Drosophila melanogaster: one gene and its partners. The protein of the gene in region 2 purifies or fractionates together with the protein of the main gene of each other region. This does not show direct contact. Each region holds a gene or a part of one and is shown on either strand. Other genes may lie near its edges.

The links.
Region 1: the proteins of CG18745 (region 2) and spoon purify together in Drosophila melanogaster (affinity purification with mass spectrometry, with the first as the bait; one large-scale study listed by BioGRID). This does not show direct contact.
Region 3: the proteins of CG18745 (region 2) and Arts purify together in Drosophila melanogaster (affinity purification with mass spectrometry, with the first as the bait; one large-scale study listed by BioGRID). This does not show direct contact.
Region 4: the proteins of CG18745 (region 2) and Mys45A purify together in Drosophila melanogaster (affinity purification with mass spectrometry, with the first as the bait; one large-scale study listed by BioGRID). This does not show direct contact.

The regions. Positions count from the first base shown.
Region 1 is NC_004354.4:5,417,307-5,422,211, reverse strand, and holds the start of spoon (spoonbill), read left to right. Parts: upstream 1-1,875; 5' UTR 1,876-1,973; coding exon 1,974-2,018; intron 2,019-3,115; exon of another isoform or gene 3,116-3,895; intron 3,896-4,837; coding exon 4,838-4,905.
Region 2 is NT_033777.3:7,783,325-7,788,152, forward strand, and holds CG18745 (uncharacterized protein), read right to left. Parts: upstream 2,796-4,828; 5' UTR 2,630-2,795; coding exon 2,515-2,629; intron 1,994-2,514; coding exon 1,850-1,993; intron 1,793-1,849; coding exon 1,581-1,792; intron 1,514-1,580; coding exon 940-1,513; intron 875-939; coding exon 618-874; 3' UTR 519-617; downstream 1-518. Other genes in the region: CG18747 (uncharacterized protein), read right to left, coding at 1-77; CG18748 (uncharacterized protein), read right to left, coding at 3,045-3,217, 3,277-3,859, 3,920-4,128, 4,194-4,343, 4,405-4,519.
Region 3 is NT_037436.4:16,601,025-16,608,657, reverse strand, and holds Arts (artemis), read right to left. Parts: upstream 5,808-7,633; 5' UTR 5,447-5,807; coding exon 5,381-5,446; intron 4,885-5,380; coding exon 4,712-4,884; intron 4,653-4,711; coding exon 3,934-4,652; intron 3,878-3,933; coding exon 3,471-3,877; intron 2,945-3,470; coding exon 2,835-2,944; intron 2,776-2,834; coding exon 1,653-2,775; intron 1,528-1,652; coding exon 1,310-1,527; intron 1,231-1,309; coding exon 804-1,230; 3' UTR 512-803; downstream 1-511. Other genes in the region: CG4098 (uncharacterized protein), read left to right, coding at 16-430.
Region 4 is NT_033778.4:9,110,909-9,115,711, forward strand, and holds Mys45A (mystery 45A), read right to left. Parts: upstream 3,044-4,803; 5' UTR 2,964-3,043; coding exon 2,487-2,963; intron 2,425-2,486; coding exon 763-2,424; 3' UTR 597-762; downstream 1-596. Other genes in the region: tsu (tsunagi), read left to right, coding at 1-48, 138-574; Phax (phosphorylated adaptor for RNA export), read left to right, coding at 3,440-3,484, 3,543-4,275, 4,331-4,422, 4,476-4,752. UniProt on the Drosophila melanogaster protein: Required for 60S pre-ribosomal subunits export to the cytoplasm.

The DNA of each region.
Region 1 (4,905 bases), on a different chromosome or scaffold from region 2:
CAACCAATCAAGCCCATACGCACGCACACATAGACACGAACTGTGATTACCCCCACACACATGCACAACAGGATCTGAGTAGTACCTTGAATTTACTCGCTGCGATATGCGTTGCACGTAAGCACACAACATATATGTTTTACAGCACTTTTATGCACTTTTTTTTATTCGTATATGCGTAAATAGAAAACGTGAACGACGTGACCAAGTGTGACCGTTGCTTATTTGGGTCGCAACTCCCGCGTGTGGTCAATTTCAAATTTTTAGGCTGTTGCTTCACCTCTCTGTTCGATGGCTTCCTCTTCTTCTGACCGCAATGGTATTCAAGTTTGGAACAACAACAATGTGCAAGTTCAAAGTCAGAAAATGACAAATAACCGAAAGGCACACAAAAAACAATCCTAAACATGTTTGCTTGCATGCCGAGACACGCACATACATCAATATTCATGTATAAACAAGCTTACAGTGTAGGAAATATAAAAAATTACAAAACTAGAACTGTGATTACCCACACACATGCACAACAAGATCTGCCTACTACCTTAAATTTACTCGCTGCGATATGTGTAGCACATGAGCACACAACATATATGTTTTATAGCACTTTTAGGCGCTTTTTATTCGTTTATGCGTAAATAGAAAACGTGAACGACGTGACCAAGTGTGACCGTTGCTTATTTTCGTCGCAAATCTCGCGTGTGGTCAATTTGAACCGTTGTCAGAAACTATAGGGTCTCGAAACATGTGCAAATAATTCATTTATATCATTCAACTTATGCTGCAAATAATTGCTATTATTATTATTTTAATTAATTATCCACACTGCTTATGTTCTTCGCTCAAACAGGAGGTAATTAAATCATTGAAGGGATTTCAAAAATCTATGTATGCATTCACTACTAACTAGCTTGGTCTTTTTTTTATTTTGCGCCGCTTTATAAATTTAAAAAAATATCATTTGGAATTACACACATCACTGTGTTAAATTAAAAAGAAGATTTTTAGTGATTGTTTTCTTTGAGATATTGAAGTCGCTATCTGCTCCTATATAAATATTATTTCGAAATTATCGATTTATAGTGCGCTATACTGACAAAAAATAGGCTGAAATTCGCATGAACAAGCATATTGTGGTAAGACAAAATGAAATCAGAACTTCCCAAGAACTACGTTGGAAAATTACAAATGCCCAAAAGTATTGCTCCACAAAATATCGTAACGAAATATCGCGAAATTTGCAACACTTTTGTGCACATTCGGTGGCAACGCCGCCTAAGAAAATACCTATTGCCCCAATCGATACCTATCGATGAGCGTGGGCAGCCCTGTTTGTGCATGTGCTGCCATTCGATTTGATAACCAGCACTCCGTGCACACGTTTTTCGGCTTTCTAGAAATAATTGGGCTGCGATTCAAACTGTGAAGTGATTTTTTCTATATTTTTTTTTTGTGTGCACAAAGGCTCTTGTAATTCGAGGATTTGGCCATCGCGAGTGCGGGTGATTAAGCAGGCAGCTCCGATTGCCAGAGTTTTGCGGATGCATGGCAACACTGCCGCACGCCGGCCATGTTATTGTGATTTGTAAAAGGTGGAACGTAGACACGTGTTTAATTCGTGCAGCACTTTAGCGTTGAGAAAACGACAGTAAATCGCCAGCAAATAAGCAAAAACAATACACAACTCGCGTGTGCAGTAGATAGCTTTGAAAGCACCCAAAGATAGTGAGCAAAATAAGTTACCCAAGCGGTTCACAAAGGTAAGAAATCGCAGCACGCGGAACATAACCTAGTACAAAAAAAGTGCGTGTGTGTGTTTGCCAAAACAGAGAGATGTGACGGAAAATGGTGTCATGTTCTGTTCTGTGTGGATTTGTTCCAATGTCCGTGTCTTGAGCTCTATTCGCACCTCTTTCCCGGTACCATAGCCAACGTTTTAACTACCTTTTTTTTGTCAACTTTTTGTTAAGTGTATGACTCTGCCTTGCCGCTGTTGTTGTTGTTCCGGCAAAGTGACAGTAAGTGGTTATGGAAAAAATTTGGAGTTCAATTCGGCGATTACACAATGACAGCACTCACACACACACACACCCACAATCGCACGCATACACATGCCGAGCATAAGTGCGTCTGTGTGTGTTACAGCTTTCACCGTTAATGTTCGGTTTTTTTACGCCTGAAAGAGAACAAAGGCGAAAAGGAGCTGCCACTCCCACAAAGAAAACATTGCGTCTATGCATACATACATATGTATACACATATAAAGTAGTATATCCCCCGATTATACAATCCCCGCCCATTTTTGGCCACCATATGATCGGAAACCACGTTGCCAAGATTATAACAATGTGGACTTTTTCGGCTAGCTGGCAATGTTGTTGCACCTGATTTGTTGTTGTTTTGGTGCTCTCTTCTGGCTTGCCTCTCTGTGTCGCTCATTCTCGCTTGTTCGGGGGAATTTCAAATTTTTAGGCTGTTGCTTCACCTCCCCGTTCGACGGCTTCCTCTTCTTTTGGCCGCACTGGTATTCGAGTTTGGAGCAACAACAATGTGCAAGTTCAAAGTCAGAAAATAACAAATAACCGAAAGGCACACAAAAAACATGCCTAAACATGTTTGTTTGCATGCCGAGACACGCAGACACATCAATATTCATGTATAAACAAGCTTACAGTGTAGGAAATACAAAAAAAAAATAACAAAAACTAGAAGACCATTGCGAAGTTGTTGTGCCCTTATCTTACATTTTGTCGTTTTAATTCAAGAGTTGATACGAATACGTGTAAAACTACACTTCTCCCTGCTCTTATGCATATCCATTTATTAAGAATTTTAGGCAAAATGTGGCAAGCTTTGTCAACAAGTTTTAATACTCTAAGCAAAGGGTATAAAACGTAATCTGAAAAATTCCCGTCACCCGGTTTCGACGATTAGGAAATGCCACAGCTGTCTGGCCAGTTGCCCTTCCATGGCCATTTTATAGCACCCCACTAGGCCCCTTATCCCCCACCCCCTGCATGCTCCCATCAACCGTTGATCTGTCGCTATATGTACATTTATACATATACATATGCATATACATATACATATGTACATACATACAATGTATGTTTGTGTTTCAGTTGCTTGTCGATTGAGCTTATCATCTGACCACTGTGTAACAGGAGGACCTTTGGGCCCTAACAAAGTGACGATATTGTGGATGGGGGGAAGCGGGAGTATAGTGGGTAAATCGGTTCTATAGTGAGTAACTTAAAAGTACTAAAGATCTCATGGCTTTAAACTACTGTTCGGCATGACTTGCACTTTTCGGGCCCCGGAAATTTTGACCAAATTCGAAGGAGCGTCTTACAATCCATTTGAATGGATTTTGATTAACGGTTTTCGGATTTCTTTGTTCTAATGAGCTCGCCACTCTCTTTTCTTCTCTCCGGCTTTCTGTCTCGTTTCCGCTTGGTGGGATGAGTGTGTGTGTGGGTGGAAAGGGGCGCTAAATAAAAACTTGCCACCACGCATCCTCTCTTTTTTCGCGGGTTGGTGGGGGTATGCCGATGCGGAAGAGCGGATGGAGTGAAGAGCGGAGAATCGGTGCCGAAATAAAAAAAATAATACAAATAAAAAGCCAGAGGAATTGGCAATTAGAAGGCGTGCAAAGTAGTTTCCCTTCATATATCGAGCAGTCGATATCTCGAATCTCTCGAACAATTTCGCCGGCATATCGAAACCCAACAAAAAAAGAAAGAAAATAAACAAAAGCATAGAAGAAACTCCAAAAAATAAGCCGAAGCGAATTGATGCCATAAAACGACATAAAATACAAACGAAACCGGAAGAAGCAACGAATTCAGTTTTATCCTAGTGGTAATACAAAAACACACATTTATTTTGTGAATAGGTGATGAATTTCTGGCAAAGCTGTTGTTTTCGTAACTTTTAGTTTTGTTTTGTAATGATTTCGTAACATTTGCCATTGCCATACGTAAACGTAACGGTTTCTTCTTGCGCCTCTCTTCCGTTCTTCGCCGACGCTCTTTTGCGTTCTTGCGCACGCGCTCTTTGCATGCGATCTATCGCTCCATCTCTCTCGCTCTCTCCCGTTGCGTTTTTCCCTTCCGCGTGGCATTCAAAAATCGCTTTGCACCTTTTTCGTCGTTCTCTCTCGTTGTCTCTCTCTCTCTCGGCATTTGTGTTGTTGTCTATATTTACGTATTTATTTGTTGCTATTAATACGCAAAAGTTCAGAAAGGAAAAAACCAAAATCAAACACACTGGCAAACACACACACACACACGCACACTTATGCAGACGAGCACATGCAGGCGGGTCTCGTGACTTGCAAAACCAATTCGAAACCTTTAAATAGGTTTTTTCAAATATAACAACATGCATATGTCGTTATTTAAAAAACAACGTTCATGTGGATGGTGTTGACAAATTAGCCCTTTAATCTCACACTTTTCTTCAAAATTGATTTCATATTTGAAATTCTCGCTTAAATTTAAACGCAAATTCAAAGCTCTTTACTTTGTTTTCAAAGTTATTCTACACAAAATTGCATATTGTGTACCGTTTCTTATCTTGAGCCATGACAAGCTTTTTAAAGTAATTATATACGACGCTACTTGATTTGTAAATTGTTGCCCTGATAAGAGGTGTTCACACATTATTTCCAATTGTAAATTAAACAACAAACCATAACTTTTCCAAATATTGCACAAACAAAAGCTACTTCATTTTTATTTCAGTATTAGTGTGATCAAAATAATCCTATTTGTGTGACAGTACACAAGTATATTTTCAAATCGCACAGACTAATATAACTTCTTCTCCCTTTCAGATCTTTCAATATTCAGCGAAAATGGTATCCGGTCGTCCTCTACTCTACCTCTCACTGCCCGGTGTAGC
Region 2 (4,828 bases):
CATCCTTTTACCAGCTGACCGGCGTAGAAAGTACCATGTTTATTATTATCGAAGCTGATCTCACACGTAACAACCATTTTTCCCAAGATTAAATGTCCGAGCGCGAAAAAGCTAAAACCGATGTTATGGGGCAACTCACTGCGACTAATTTAAGTACAAAACTTCTGGACTGCTTGCGGTGCGACCGCGTCGTTAGATAAGCGATAAGAACCATAACTTGGACCCGATGTCGGATTCGGATTTCACCGGGAACGATACGGAATCGTAGTCCAAACTGTATAAGAGTCGATAATAAGTTCCCTTGCGAACTACTCGGACGTTCACTTGGGGTTTTCGGTCTGTTATCAGAGTTGGTTGTCGAGACCTTGGCACTGGGGAAGTTATTGCCAGCATTCATCGAGGGGTTTTCAAGAGGAAAGAAAAGCGTCGTGTTTGAAAATCTTAGACTACATATGGTAATATATATATAATTTCGAATAATTTCAAAAATCGCTCCACCCTGTACCAGTCTTGGAATTGTGATAAAATGTTTATTATAAAGTGTTAGGTGGAACTTTTGCCTTGTGTGCAAATGCTTTATCGCCCTTACATTTCTAGTATAGTATTTATTTTCGTTCTCATAGCCACGTTCCCTTGTCTTTGTCCACATCCATGGCCGGATTGACAAAGGCCCTCTCTGCCATATAATTCTGCGTATAATCCGTCGGCGGCGGAGCTGAGGGACTGGGTATGTCGAAGACCGGATAGAGTGGCTTATAAGCACCGCCATCCAAACTGAGAGTATTGGGCGGTACTGGTTCCGGGTCGTCTAAGTCGTCTGACCTCGTTGCAGCCGTGCTGCGCATGTGAACAGCCTCCTGATAGTTGGGCGGAGCTAAAAACACCAACAAAAAACATAAATTGATACTGTAATTAGTTTATGGATTCTAGTAAACTCACGAATGGATGCGTCGACAGACCATGGACTTGAAGAGTTTGGAGCAGTGGCTACTTCTTCAACAGCCAGCTCATTAACATTCAGCTGGGGGACGAAACCCCGAGGCTGGATTGGTACGTGTTGTGCAAGAGGGACACTGCCAATGGTCAGCGGAATGGTGACAACCTCGTTGTTGTGGCAACCCTTCACCCTGGCCTCCACCTCCACTTGGTAGGCGATCTGGATGATGCCGCACAGGTTGAAGCAGGTGGGCGGAGTGGCCGGGACTCTGATCTCATAGCTAAATAGCTTCTTGCAGTTCCTTTGCACAGCGTCCCCCTTGAAGGTGTTTACCACCAACCTCTCGGACGTGGTATTGGGCATCGAAGGTGGCTTACTGTGGTATGTCACCAGCATCACAAAACTAATGAGGAGCTGCTCCACCGGAATGTGGCTATCGTTTGTGACCAGCACGCTAAGGGGAACATTCTGGCCAGGTACAAATCCTGTCTGTGGAACGGTCAGTTGGAGGGCCAACGGATCTGATCGGCAAGGCCAGCAGCAGTAGGTCTTCGAGGTTTCACTGTGGGCGGGTACCTACATAACATATTCAATTAGCTTAGGTTCTAACAGATATGTATTCGTGTTTGATTTTGATTCGTACCCTTAGCAGTGGACTATCGAAGTTCAAGTCCATCACTTTTAGCACCGTAAAGCATCGGGTATAGCTCTGATCGAATTTCCAGGGCCTGACGAGGGTTACGGTTGCCATGTACCGCACCCTGCCGTGTGATCCCTCGAAGGACGAAGGACATTCGGTGGGAATCAGGCACACGAAGTTGTAAGTGTGAATTCCCGCTTCAATGGATACTTGGCCTGCAGATATGATTAGCAATTAGATGGACTTTCTTGCCTAAATGGAGCTTTACGTACTGCTCAGATTGGATCCCACCAAAAATGTTTTGGACGCTATGTAATCCTCGCGGCCGCAGAATGTGCGACGTCTCCTCCTTCTGTTTGTGGTCACCCTTTCAATCCAACGCGTCTCTGCGTATCCGGTTATATTCAAGGTGATGGCTGCGGAGAAGAAGTTGATAAGGTATTTCTTAGAAAGGTATTTTAGCTCAATGTACTGTAACGAATTGAATTTATTCTTTAATTGTTTTTTAAGTCATCTAAACGATGATTATGGTTTTGACAAATTAAAATCTTTTAATCATACAGAATTACTGTTATGCATTCACATGAAATATCCATAAAAACTTACAAAAGCAATCGTTGTATATATGAAAAAGTCAAATATGTATCCACCCCTATTTAATATTAATTAATGCGAAACCCATTGATTATTTAAAAATAATTTAATCTTATCGAACGCAAATATTATCATTGATGCATTTGTGTATGTTCGCCAAACACCTTCATGTAGACATTAGATTTCGCACGTGTGGTTCTCTACTCACTATAAATATATGAGTCACCGGACTAAATCTTCGTTTAAAAACATTCAACCGCACTTTTAAGTTGGACGATAAGATAAGAATGACTCATGGCATATTGTCAAATTCCAAAGGTATCTCAAATCAACTGCCCCTCACCTTTTACCAACTTCATCTTGTCCAGCTTCAACGTAACTCTGCCAGTGAGTACCTCGCCCCCAAAGTAGGTGCCATGGGGATTGTTATCGAAATCAATTTCACAGGTAACAGTCATAATTGTAATTGTAACCGCAATCGTGTATTTATGGGCCGATCCTACTCTGATGCCGCTGCAAACACGACTGATTTGATTTTAATGCCAATGTTCAGTTATTTACTCCCTAAATTCCGAGAACTCCAGACAGAGTGGAAGGAACCGCTTTTCGCGACGATAGCACCCACATGCCCACTTGGCTGCCAGAAATCAACTGAGAATAAAACAAACATTGCGGTTGTTCTATATTGGTAGCGATGGCCAGAAAAACTTTATCTTATCGCTGTCACAATTTTGAATTATACATTTTGCCAAATGCAGTCGAGCAGCAAATAGCCCTCATATCTCCGGAAAAATCCCAAGGACTTCTTGACAAGCAGGCGTGGGATGGGATGTCCAATGGTTCTCAAATGTAGAATAGTTTTTTCGCCCGCCTTCATTTCTTTTCCTCTTTATCCAAAGCCGCTTCCTTGCTCTTTTCTACAGTTGAAGTAGACAAATCGAAGACAGGATACAACGGCTTGTAAGACTTCTCTTGCGCATTTCCCGACTCTGACTGTTTCTCAGAGTCACTATGGGAATGCATGGCCTCGGCGTAGTTCGGTGGCGCTATAAAAATCGTATGGTTACATAATTGATATGGACATATTAAAACAAGGACAGCTTACATAGTGTGGATCCTTCTGACCAGGGATATGGGGGAGCAGCTGGAGCAAAAGCTCCCTCTCCCTCAATCAAAGTCAAAGCTCTTTGTTCTGGAGCCTCTGGCCCAGAGCTCTGCGGCGTATATTGCACCGCTGACGGCGATATCGGAACACCACAAATAGTCACCGGCATTATCAGAGTTCCATTGATATGCATGCCCTTCACCTTGGCCACAACCTCGATCTGGTATCCGATCTTGATAATGCGGCACAGATGGAAACATGAAGGCGGAGTAGAGGGTATCATCAGTTGGAAGTCGTACATTTTCCGGGAGTTCCTCAAAACTCCATCTGCCTTTAACTTGGCCACGGACTTGCGCTCGCACTTGGAACCTGAACTTAGATCACTGTAGTAGGTGATCATCATTGATAGTCCAACCTTCACTTCGTGCACCCGAATTTTGCTTTCGTTACCAATCAGAACATTTGCGGGTACCGTCTGACCAGGCACAAAGCCAGTCTGCGGCAAATTCAGCTCCAGCGTTAGAGGATCCGATCGGAAGGGCCAGACCCCAAAGGTTTTCTCAGTCTTGGCCTGCACGGGAACCTTAAAAGCGATTACATTGTTATAGCAGACCTCCAAAATTTCGTTTCATGTTATATTTACCTGTGAAACAGAGTTATAGGTGTTTATGTCCATCACTTGAATAACGGTGAAAGCTCTTGAGAAAATGCTGTCGTACTTCCACGGCTGAATGATATTGACATCCACCATATAACGTATACGACCATGAGTCCCCTCGAACGATGAGGGACAATTGATTGGAATTGGACAAGCAAAATTGTAGGACCTAGTTCCCGGCTCCAAAGCCATTTCTTTGCGAATACATAAAATGAAATTTTGACCAATTTCAATAACAAATTATCACTCAATATTTTACCAGGGCTAATTTCGGAACCCAAAAGATAAACTTTACTGGAAAGGTATTTCTCAAATCCATTGTACGACTCTGAAGTGGACTTGTTATTCGAATCAGTCTTGCTTTCGGTCCAATGGGTCTCTGCATAACCTTTTAGCTTAAGTCGAATTGCTTAATATGTAAAATGTTGCGAGAATTATATGAAGTATCGCAATCACAACTGAGTACTTACCTTTGATTTGAATCGCCTTATCAGTGCTCAGAGTCACTTGACCAGCAACCATTTGGCCCGCGTAAAAAACCCCTTGCGTGTTGTTGTGAAAAAGAATTTGGCAAATTATTCCCATGGTTTTTTATGGTTAAAGCACAAGTTTTAATGAATTTAAGTCTGTCGTTAATTGTTAAGATGTTTTCCCTTCAATTGCCGCAATCAAACTGAACTAAAAAGTTTCTTACCACTTATTTTGTGCAACGGAGAGCTTTTGGTAATTTATCTTATCAGTACACCCATAAATCTATTTATTGGTAAACCCAAAAACCCCCTACAATTTTTTTATACAATAAATAGATCATTCGTAACCAGCTAACATGAGAACTGAATTATCAGGTCCAAAAACAGCTGATACTTATATTTGTGGTGTAAAAACAAGTGCCCC
Region 3 (7,633 bases), on a different chromosome or scaffold from region 2:
TCCTCTTTCCTGCAGGAATATCATACAGATGGTTGCCATACAGCGGTCCGACAACAAGTTGTGGGCCATTCCCGGTGGAATGGTCGATCCCGGCGAGAATGTCAGTGTCACCCTTAAGCGGGAGTTCACCGAGGAGGCATTGAATTTCACGGACAAAGCCAACATGGTTGAGCGATTTTTTCAAGCGGGAGGCGTTCAGGTATACCAAGGCTACGTAGACGATTTTCGAAACACGGACAACGCTTGGATGGAAACCACTGCGCTGAACTTCCACGATGAAGACGGGAGCCAGGTGGGACAATTGGAGCTAATGGCCGGTGACGATGCCTCCAATGTGCGCTGGACGGACGTCGACTCGAATCTCAAGCTGCACGCCAATCATGCCGACATAGTCCGTGAGGTTGTCATCCGACGAAATGCACACTGGTAGAAACTAGACTGAAACTATAAGAGTTAAGATCAACTGCCTAATGGTTGAAGAAAAACCAATTTTAAATAATAACATAGCCTTCAATGAAACAAGTAATCCCTATATTATTTCAATGCATATTAATGTCTCACTGGATGTGGTTATAAGTTAGAAAACATTTTCCTCCGTTTTTTGGCGCGTAGAAACCTTCATCTTGCCCTTTTAAAGATCGCTCATCTTGAATGATTTAACTCCACAGAAGCACAACTGAAATTTAAGACTATTTCGAAAGTATTCGTATAAAAAGCTTGCATCACTTCCAATAAATGAATCTGCGGGCGGAGGACGTTGGGTGTTCTGAGCTGTTTGGTGGTTTTCACACGGATATGTGGGCTTACAGGGCTTGCACATAATTGAACACTTCTGGATTCATGTTCGATACTTTGCTGAACAGTTCCGGGTAGTTGGCGCGAATCTCTTTGATGAGGGCCACCGCGCTCTCGGTTGTCTCGACGTCAGGCATCTGTTTCTTGTAACTCGCCTCTATGGTGATGGCCAGGATTTGCTCAAGATGTGCCTCAATGCTGGGGCGGGCCTTCAAGTATAGCACACGGAACGCCTTCTGAATCACATCGTTCTCCACGGTGTCATCCTTCAGTGGCAAATGGTTGAGCCACACGGGCAGCACCTGGCCAAGCGGCACTGAATCTGGGTTGGTAACTATGAGACGAGCAACTGCTCCGCAAATGTTGTCCATGGCGGCAGGAACGGATTCCCTGACAATTGCTTCGGAAAGGGCTTGCAAAATTGTCGGATAAGACCTATGGATGCAAAAAAAAAACAAAAAACATATACATCAAAACTAGATTCTGCAGAAAAGTTCATTTCCGGGAAACCCACTCGAATGATTTTTCCTCGGAATGGAAGACAATTTCGCCTAGTGCAAAATAGGAGTTCTGTCGCGCTTTGGCATCAGAATCCCTGGAACCGGCGATAAAAATGGGACGTAGGGCATCGAAATAAGTAGCACAGCAACCTTTTAACGCCTTGCAGCAGTCAGCAAGTGCGCCATAGATGTATGCCCGCTGTTCTGGTAAATCGCGCTCCTTTACCTTCGCCTGAAACGAAATAATTGAATTTCAGTAAGCCGTTCGGAATATCGATGGTTGTATGAATTATTGCCAAGAGAAGATCGACCTCTCTCCTTTGCCACATCATGTTCGGTATTTCGTGCAAAACCTACCAGCCTTTGAATATAGAAATGGTAAAGGCGTCCAAAATAAAGCGAGAACAGCTCCGGCTGAAGGGTTAAGCCAAACATGGGGAACAGATTGGCAGCGTTCTCGAACAGCATCTCGTCGTTCTCGCTTTCCTCCGAACACTCATCATCTCCGCCGCCGCTCTCCTCGTTAAACTGACAGGCCATTTTATTTGTGAAGATGTCCCTGATGCAACCGAATATAAGTTCGGCGTGCTCCTGGCTGTTTATCGCCGGCACGTACTTGAAGACATCGTAGAGGACGTCAAGCATGCGGAGTACGACCGCAACCTGGTCGTCGGTGCGCATTATATGTGCAAACTTTGGAATGGCAATCTCGCAGGCGCGCTTCAGGCCGGCGGCATCATCCAACTTGTGGAGAGCCGTAATGAACGAGCAAATGGAGTCAATACATGCCATACGAACGTCGCCTTGCGGATGATCAATCATCTTGTAGACGTTCTCGAATGCAGATTGCAAATAGGGCGCGAAGGCGGCGCCGGTATGGGTAGCAAACTCCTTGAGTGACAGAATGGCCTCCTCCTTTTCGACGATATAATCATTCTCCCCCAGGTAAGCGTCTTGGTCATCTTCGTCGTCTGTGTGCTCTAAATCAATCTCTATGTCGGGGGCATCTACTAGGGCCAAATCATCCTCCGCATTGTCCGACACATTTGGCACCATGTCCTCCGAAGAAATCACAGACTCCATTATGCGATCAATGAACTTGGGGAACACACTGGCCATGCTCTCGTTGACAACTGATGACAGAGAGGACATCAGGTTGTATATACTCCTGCGGAACTCGGGATCATCCGGACCATCTTCCAGCATCATCAGGCAGAAGTTCATTGTTTCGTCGGCAAGAGGAATAATATTATCCTTGCCCAATTCGCGACACAGCGCGGCCAGAGTGTCGATAGCTTGGATGCGCTGACTGTACATTTCTTTTGGGCAATCCTTCACCAGACAGCCCTGTAGTACGGTCATGATCCTGGGGAAATATGGCATCAGGTTTTCCTTAGCTGCTGCTGACACCGCTGCTATGGCCGACAAAGCCATTTCACGCATTTGATTTGAGTTCTGCGGTTCCATAACCCCAAACAGACTGCACAATAAGTTTATCAGGGAGTGGACTCATATTTCCGTAGTATAGTCTAGTCTTACCGATCCATAAGTGTGGGTAAATAAGGAACAATATCCTCATCCAGATTCTCGCAAAAGGTCTCCAGGGCATAAAACATACGATCCATATGTTTCGAATCCGGCTCACCAACCTGAAAGAAAATACATTTAGTATGTTTCTGCCAAACAATTTGTTGGCTTTGTTGGTGCAAAACGGAATGCAGTCCTCAAAAAACGTGAAAAGAACCCCATTTGAAGACACCTTCTTTATGTAACCGACGAACTTATTACTCATTTAAATAACAATTAAGAAACGAGTCAATGAACATTTAACATACGCCAAAAAGTTAAATAAACCAGTGCGAAATGATATATCTACAACAGAGCTCTTAATGTAATCAATCTGGCAAACTATTCAACAAATTTTAGGTGTTTGATGTGCAATCAAGTACATAGTAAACAGTAAGACATCGAAAAAGCACCCTATATTTGGCGAGGACCGATCTTCGCTTGATCTGTATCTTGTCTAAGTACATTATGGAATCTTTGGCAGGTACGGAATCGAGATTTGGCCCATTGCTGTTATGGCCAGCCTTTAGAAGCAGCACAAACAAATAAACGAGAATGTAAAATATACAAATTCCAAGTTGGTCGAAGATGGCCACAATGATTACCTACCTTGAGTTCCAGTACCAGCTGGTTTAGATAGTCGAACAACACGGGTAGAATTTGGGGAGCAAACTTGCAGATCGTCGGCTGAAGAAACTCGGAAAACTGACCGAGGGCGAAGAATGCGGCGGTCCGCACGAACATAACAGAGTCCAACACTCCAGCTTTGATGATATTTAGCATGACCTCGAGATACTTTTTCCCAATGGCCTCGGAACAGCCCTCGGCAATAACGCCCATGCAAATAAAAGAGGAACGGCGAAGCACAGGTTCCGGGCTCTGCAACGCAGGCTCCAGCAAATCCAGTAGTGGCGGAATAAACTTGTCCGGCACCATGTGAAGGGCCATCAGGTCGAGTGTCTGCGCAGCTGCATTGGATGGACTATTTAGGCTCTCCGAGGAAAAGTAATCATCGTCTAGAATAGGAATAGGGTTAGCAAGCATGGCAACAGAAATATAAAGGAGCAGTTACCACCTTCCTTGAGGTCGTCCTGGCAAATCACTTCGAAAAGAACAGATAGTGTGGGCTGTAGTAGTTTCTGCTTCATAATAATTTTCTTCTTGAGGCGAACTAGGCTGCCCACAAAGGTAAGCACCTGAACCCGAATCGAAGCGTCGAACTGCTTGTTTCTCGCAATCATCAGACAAAACTCCAGAAGCAGCTTCACATTGCCGGTCAGCAAGTGGGGCACATACTCGGCCATGCTGTCGATGATATCAAAGGCACCCATGAACTCATTACTGTTCCCCTTTTCGGCAAAGGCGGCCAGGGCCTTGAGTATGAGCGGCACAGCCTTAACCATAATCTGCTCAGCATCACTATGTCCACTTATGAAAGGCAACAGGACGCACGTACCCGCCAACATGTTATGCACGGTGGGTGTGGCCATGTTCCCATTCGCCTCGGCGGTAACTAGAATGCCGGCAAGCAACGGGAAGATAGTATCCGTGTGGTTCGAAAACTGATCGGGAGCAGCGTCCATGAGCGAGGAAAAGATTGAGCTGCCCCGCTCGCTTTCTATTGGATCGGGGCTGCTGCAACGTTCGTAAATAAACTTCAGTATTTCCTCCCTCCAGGAGTTTTGCTTGTCCTCCTCGTGGCGCACCAGCGATCCAATTATAAAGGCCACCGTGCCCTTCACGGTCTTTTCCTTCACCGCGATGAGGACCTGTAGCATGTTCGATTTGATTCTAAAAAACATGCATCCGTTACTGTATCATAGTCATTAAAAGGTAACCAGTTAACTCACGCTGCCTGGTGCTCGGCGGGAACCAACTGCCAGTGGCGTAACTTTTTGACCCGCCTCTTGAGGAGCACGGCGGCGACCTGCCGCTCTTGGACCGGCCTGTCCGACATCACGATCTGGGTGAGAACCAGCAGAGAATCGGGATTCTCGTAGGCCTTTAGCATCTTGGCTGTGGACTAAGGAAGCGAAAGAAATGGAACTTTATTATTTATGGCCCTATGCTATCATGCTATCAACATAAGTAATTTTTCAATTAGGAAGCATTTCAAGAACATGAGAGACCAAAGATTCTTGGAAAAGAATGATGGTATATCCACGAATTTAATGCAAATAAAAATATAATATTAATTAATTAATATTAATTATAAATATATAAATAATTATTTCTAAAAAATTTCAACAGTTTTCGGAAGTTTGTTCTGATCATGTATACATTTCTATACATTTCATGTATAGAGGAATGTGCCCATGCCGAACTATATGGCACTGTGTTCATGTGGCGTACATATATAGATAGATATGTACGCATGTATATAGGGAATGCGATCCAGCCACGCGGTCAGACCGACATGGAGCAGTCAGAAAGGAAAGCATACATGAAAGACATCCATTGGCGCCCAGGATAACCTCCTTTCTCATTGCCGGATGGTCAATTTGACCCGCTTTGCTCACCTCACGGATTCGTTCCGTGTCTATGGCCAGGATCCCGTTGATTATATCCAGAATAGCTGCCTCCATTTTTGGGGAGTTACTGTTCGCGCCCAGGCGGATAATCCAATGCAATCCGGTACAAATTACAGCCGACGTTACGCGGAATTGAGAATTGAAAAGTGGGATACCGGGGAGGAATTCGCGAAAAAGAGACCAGGGCTGGAGGCGCGTTGGCGTTGCACGTTGTGCCCATGTTGAAGTTTACAGTTTATCGGAAGCTTATTTTACATTCTACTCTTGAATTGGCTGGCGGTTATCATTTCGGTTTAACGAGTGGGGTATGTGATACGTGATTTTATCTCCCACAGTTAATTGGTGACTTGTGTTAACATTTTTCTTTAAAATATGTATTTATGTTTTTTTGTTTATTGTTGAGTTTTGATATGTGCGCTAGCAACAGTGTTATGCAATAGAATAATTTATTATTAAATTATTTACATTTTTGAGATTTGATCGACCGGACAAGTAAGCAAAGGCCGCTTCGACACTAGTGTCAGCCCTGGATCTTTTATCATTTATCGACGTCCATTTTCGATCGAAGCGACGTGCCTTTTTTTTGTTTTCGCGTTCGCACTGCAAACTGTAACTGTTAAAGGACAGAGCGGAATGGACAGAAGCAGTGGAAGCCAGCGAAATGGTAGTTACATGGACCAGAACTCGCTGGGCATTCTGAACGTGGACAATCTAAAGGTAAGCAGGCGGAGCACGCCGGAAATAAGCCGAAGCAGCAAGTAATCCGCATTTCCTAGAGTCTTCGGCGACTTGTCCAGCTTCAGTAAAAGTGGAAGGAGGAGCGGCACTGGTCGGGACTCTCCTGCCGTCCACGAGCGGCTCCGAGAAGAACGACTGCGTGCGCTGGAGACACTGGAAAATCCCCGACCGTCGCGTTCCAGCCAAGCAAAGAGCACTGCCCTCCAGATGCGCTCGTCCACAAACATCTCGGAGCTGGTAACAGACGACACCATCGATCTGAACAGCAGCAGCTCCTTTGCTTTGGTCATGCCCGCCACCAAGGTCACAAACATCTCTTTTGAGCCTGCGGAGATCACCGGCAGGTCCACACTCTGCCAGGCGGGAAAACAGCGCCGCAGGGAGAAGCCATCCCTGTCGATGGCCGAAATTCTAAAGTCATCCTTTGTTGAGAAGGCTCGCCTGTTGGAAAGGAAGCTGCAGGATGCCAGCCAGGCGGAGGCCAGCTATCACTTATCACGTGGCAGCTCCAGCAGCCTCTCAGATTCATTCAACTGCTCGCGCAGCTTACCGCGCACTGCGGACATGAGTGAACTGAGTCTTAACGGAGGTGGGGGATTTTCCTTTGGATCTGCCTCTTTGGCGGCGGAAGGCCAGGATGAGAGCTTTGCTCCCGCCGAGCTAATGCAGTCCAAATTGGTGCTCGGTGAAATCTCCTGGGCGCAGGAGTTCACGGCCATGCCGACGGCCACGTTGAGCACACAGGCGTTGAAGAAGATTGCCGCACCAACATCCGAGATAGAAACCTCGGTGTCCAAGTAAGCAACATAAAATAGTCTTCCAAATATAATTTGATCAACTTTCAACTTTTATTTACAGTTCTGTCTTGGCCGGAGATCCAGACTTTTCGCTGGGCAACTACTTCCAGACGCGTTCGGAAAATATATGGAACATTGTGAGCAATGGCAGCCCGAATCAGAAAGTAACGTGACACTGGATTCGGTTGGCGAGAAGACCCCACAGCCAGACAATAAAACATACACTAAAACGGATGCCATAACTGGCTCGAATCTCGGACGCAATCTTATGCGTAAGATGCAACAGGATCGGATTGAAACTGCGCTAAAGAGCAGGAATGGTCTGGCAGCCAAAGAGACCAAGCGTCCGCCGTCGAGCTCCGAGATCCTAAGTCTCTCCGCGATCGACATGGCGCTAAGGGACATAGATCTCAATTCGGATACATCCACTGTAGAGGTTGTCAACCACCTGTGGGAGCATGGTCGTGGAAACAATTATGACGATGGGGAAAACAAGGAGAACCAGAGCAGCAACTCCCATGCGGAGCGCACTTTGTGCGGCTCCAACAAGCTTACCGACACCATGAGTTTCACGGACTCTGTGCTAAACTCAACGGATTTTCGTCATTTGCAGCAGAGCATTTCGCGCAAGCCGCTCAGTCCAAATCCTGCCGCAGATCCAATCGTCACGCGCTGGAAGCGTGACGACCAAGGAGCAATTGTGGCC
Region 4 (4,803 bases), on a different chromosome or scaffold from region 2:
TGGACATTGACAATGCGGAGGAGTTCGAGGTGGACGAGGACGGTGACCGTAAGTAGCTGCGGCAGGCTTTGTAATCCACCGGTCTTATGCTTTCTATTTTCTCCCACGCCGCGCCGTGCACCCTACGCTCAAAACAGAGGGCATTGTGCGCCTGAAGGAAAAGGCGAAGCACCGCAAGGGACGCGGATTTGGAAGCGACAGTAACACCCGAGAGGCGATCCACAGCTACGAGCGTGTGCGCAACGAGGACGACGATGAGCTGGAACCTGGTCCACAAAGGTCCGTCGAGGGCTGGATACTGTTTGTCACCTCTATCCATGAGGAGGCGCAGGAGGACGAGATTCAGGAAAAGTTCTGCGATTACGGAGAAATCAAGAACATTCACCTGAACCTCGACCGGCGTACTGGGTTCTCAAAGGGATACGCTCTCGTCGAGTACGAGACCCACAAGCAGGCGCTCGCCGCCAAAGAGGCCCTGAACGGTGCCGAAATAATGGGACAGACCATTCAGGTTGACTGGTGCTTCGTTAAGGGACCGAAGCGCGTTAAAAAGTCCGAAAAGCGTCGCAGATAAACGACTCCCAGCCCCAAGAATAATTTTTTAAAATAGTTTAATGAATAGGCAACCGTACAAAGTCTATATGAATTGAAATAAATCAGATAACTCTACCAACTACCCTTTATACAATCAATTGGTTAGAATTATATATCTTATATTGGTATTCATTTAAAGCACTACGAGGTTTGAAACGCAAGAAGGTACTACTTCATCTTTTTCTGATGCAGCAGATGTTTTCTCAGCGCCTGCTGCTTGTCCTTGAAGCTCTTCTTAACCTTGGAGCGAGCCTTGTGTCGCAGCATGCCAAAGTTCTTGGTTTTGCGCTTCTCGCGGTTCGTCTTGGAACAGTGCTCGTTCACGCGCCCATCCTTCCAGCCAAAGCGCTCGCGATCCTGCCGGCCCGCCTGCACAGTCTCCAGCCGCGACTCCTTGTCGTGCTTGCGCTTCTTGTAGATCATCTCGATGCTGTTCAGCTTGACGAACTCGGCGCGATCCTGTTCAAGTGGTCTCTTGCGGGCACTGGTTACGGTCTTCTTAAGATTAGCCGCGTTGATGCGCTTGAAATCTTCGTCCGTGAATATGCGAGTAAGAGCCAGTTCCTGTGCAGCCTCCTTTTGGTTAAGGATCCTCATATCTTTCTTTTCCTTCTTGGCCTTTGCGGACTCTTCGCCACTTTCCACGCCTTCGTCGGAATTATCTTCATCCTCATTCTCCTCGTCATTACTGTTCTCTTCGTCTTCGTCTTCGTCATCATCGTCCTCATCCTCATCTTCGTCTTCTTCATCATCGTCCGCTCCACCACCCTCACCATCACTGTGCGCCACGTTAACCCATTCACCATCGTTTGAGTCCGTATCGTCTTCGCTCTCTATGTCAATAGTCTTAGAGTCCTTGAGCAGAGCCTCTGCACCCAAGACAGTGTCGTGGACTTCGCGCTCTCCGTAGGCTCGAACCTTTCGTTCGGCCTGGGCCTCTGTCTGCCTGCCTCGGTCCTTTTTGTGCAACAGGGCAGGCAGCTGTTCCCTGTAGAGTGTGATTAGCGACCGTGCCGCCATCATCACCGACTTCTCCTTGTACGTTTTGTACATTGCCAGGTCCTGCAGCAAATCCTCGCCCATGGCCAGGGGACATCGCATGCAAATCTCACGCGTCGCATTCAGACCTATGGCCATCACATCGCTGGAGTTGCGTTCAGTAATGAAGTTGTTGGCGATCGTCTTTAGGATAGGCTCGATGATGTCTCCGGGAACCAGTTCGTGGGACGCTTGGGCGGCAAACTGGAGCACACGTGTCACCTGGCGTTGGTGGGGTTGCAGAAAGCGTGTTATGTACGGATAGAAACCGAAAAGGAAGAGGTCGTGGATGCCGATCAGCCGGGAAATAACGTCCAAATGCATTAGCTTCACCTCAAATCGCTCGTTGGTGGCCTGCAGCTGCTTAAAGAGCCCTTCGGCCATTCCCTGCGGATTGTGCACCAGGTGAATGCCTGAGAAGTTAAAGGCTGGAGCGTTCTTTTTCTTTTTCTGGGCCTTCACCGCTTGCTTTTTGATCTGCGCCAGTTGCTTGGTCCGCTTCTTGGTTTTCTTATTGACTCGATTGGCCATCAGAGCACCCTTAAGGTCCACCTCGTTCTCGCTGTCAGTGTCCTCCTCTTCATCCTCTTCGTCGTGGCCGAGGAAGAACTTGAGCGAGGTGACCAGTACTTTTGTTACCTTAGAGAAGCACCCCACAGTGGCTATGACATTCACCGTCTTAGAATCATTCCATATGTTTTTCTTGTACAGCTCGATCATGATATCAGCGGACATCTTGGCTGCCTTCGGATTGGCATCCTTCAGCATGGAGTACATGAATGCCTGCAGGCTCTGCAAAGACATAAATGAATATTGATTGAGTCCAACAGTGGTAGCTGACGACTGCGTCTTACCGAATTGAGCTTCATGTCCTTGTGCTTGGCATTCATATTCTTGATGTCCGTCACAATGTGCGTTTGCAGAAAGGTGCGCAGATTCTTGTCCGGACACCGCAGCAACTGAAAGAACAGTTCCAGTATGTCCAGCGCGGGCACTAGGTTCTTGTTTCTCAGCAGGATTAGAGCTTTCACAAAGCAGTTACGCATAGCCGGGTCCAGAACGGTGGCATAGTTCTTCAGCAAATCGGAAAGACGCTTTGGGAACTCCTCGCAGACGGCCGGATAGCACTGAGCCACCTGGGCGACAAACATGACGATGTCATCCAGGGATTTGTTTTCTTCGCTGGGATTCAGCGCAAAAACTTCCAGCAAGCTAAGAAAGTGTTGGTACTGGATGTGGAACTCATCGCTATACGACTCCGGATCCCGCTTGATGAGGTTCTGCAACTGCGGAAGGTTCTCCGGCAGCTGGTTGTTGTTGGGCCGCACCATGGTGAGCCGTTATAACAGTATAAAAACTACGATTATTTTCAACCACGTTCTGTTTGGTTCGCAAAGTAAACGCACGTGTGGTGTGTGACCGTTTGTGGGTATAGCAGAAATGCCTCACCTAAAACTATGTTTATTAATTTAATTAAATTAAATACATTTAGTCTTATTTACATATAATTCAATAAAAAAAATATATTAATTAATATAAGCTATGTTGTTCACCCCCACCTAAGTATTAAATTACGCAAAACTTAATTTGCCTAGTAACACCTAGTTACGCTGATCTTTTTATTATTGTAAATATAACACGAGCTAATCTAATTTACATCTTTGCACTATTAAAGACCAATAATATAAACATAATAATTTAACTATGCACCAAGTAATCCTCAGTAAGTATGGTCACTCTGCCGCTCAGTGTTGCACAAACAGCTGCACTTTGGGCGAAGATTTTCTCTCGACTCGCCATAAAAAAAATGATGGAACTGCACGCAAATGACGTTGACCTGGAGGACGGCGAGGTAATCATAAGCACCCAGACTACCGAGCATCTAATGACCATATCTGCCGGCCTTTCAGCTATCGGAGAGCGACGATGATGGCGTTTACACGCCGTTGCAGCGACCTGACGGTGCGGAGAAGGTGGCCAGTCCCCTTACCACCTGCCATCAGATCCAGACTGCGTTAGAGGACGAGTCACAAAGCAACAGCGACTCCTCGACTGCCGAATCCTCCGAGGACGGGTGCATCAAGAAGCTTCGTACGGAATCCACCGGACCCGACGGCCACAAGAAGCGGAAAAAGCGCATTCGGCGCACGGTAATGCGGCGCGTTCCGCCCACGGATGCTGAAATGCAACCGAATCGAGCCCGTTTCAAGAAGTACAACGTGTGGGCTTCTGCCCTGCAAGAGGATGCGCTCAGCGAGAATATGCGTGGCTGCGACGTTACCCGAAGCGGTCGGGATCGAAATGTTGAAAACTACGACTTCTCATTGCGATACCGGCTGAACGGCGAGAACACTCTAAAGCGACGACTCTCAAACTCTTCGGAGGACGGCGGCGAATGCTCCCATCCAGCTCACAAGAGGGGAAGACCTTCTAGTCGGCCCATCACCGGGAATCAACAGCGCGGTTTGGTCAAGAGTAGAACGGGTCACCGGTCACGTCGTGGGACATCTTCGGCCAGCGGATCTTCCGATTTCTGCGAGCCCAGACACATTCTGGACTTAAACGAAGTGGGTGAGAGAGATCCTTCGGATGTGGCTACCGAAATGGCCAGCAAACTGTACGAGGAAAAGGACGAATTACTTGGTGAGTATGTGAAATAAATAATGCCCTACTTAGTAAATAATGCCAGTTTTACCAGTTCGAGTCGTGGAGGTTCTTGGCATAGATGTGTGCCTAGAGCTATACAAGGAAACTCAGCGCATTGAAGCCGATGGCGGCATGATGATCAAAGTAAGTAGTAAAGGATGTTCCCCCGAATATACTAACACGATACCTCGAAACAGAACGGCATACGGAGACGTACACCAGGCGGGGTATTCCTGTTCCTAATAAAGCACCACGATAACATCACTCAGGAGCAGCAGAAGCGCATTTTTAGTGAGGATCGCCAGAGTCTGAGCAAGTCTCGAAAGCAGATCGAAACGTTGATGCGGGACCGTAAGGTGGAAGAGTTGAAGAAGTGCCTCAGCAAGCAGGTTACGGAACTGCCGACGTTAAATCAGCGCAAAGAGTACTACATGCAGGGCGACGAGCAAAGTGAAGATAAGCAACCGGGCAGCTGTAAGAAGATCCCATTATTATTGTTAAATCTCCTATGTGACTATTTTGACT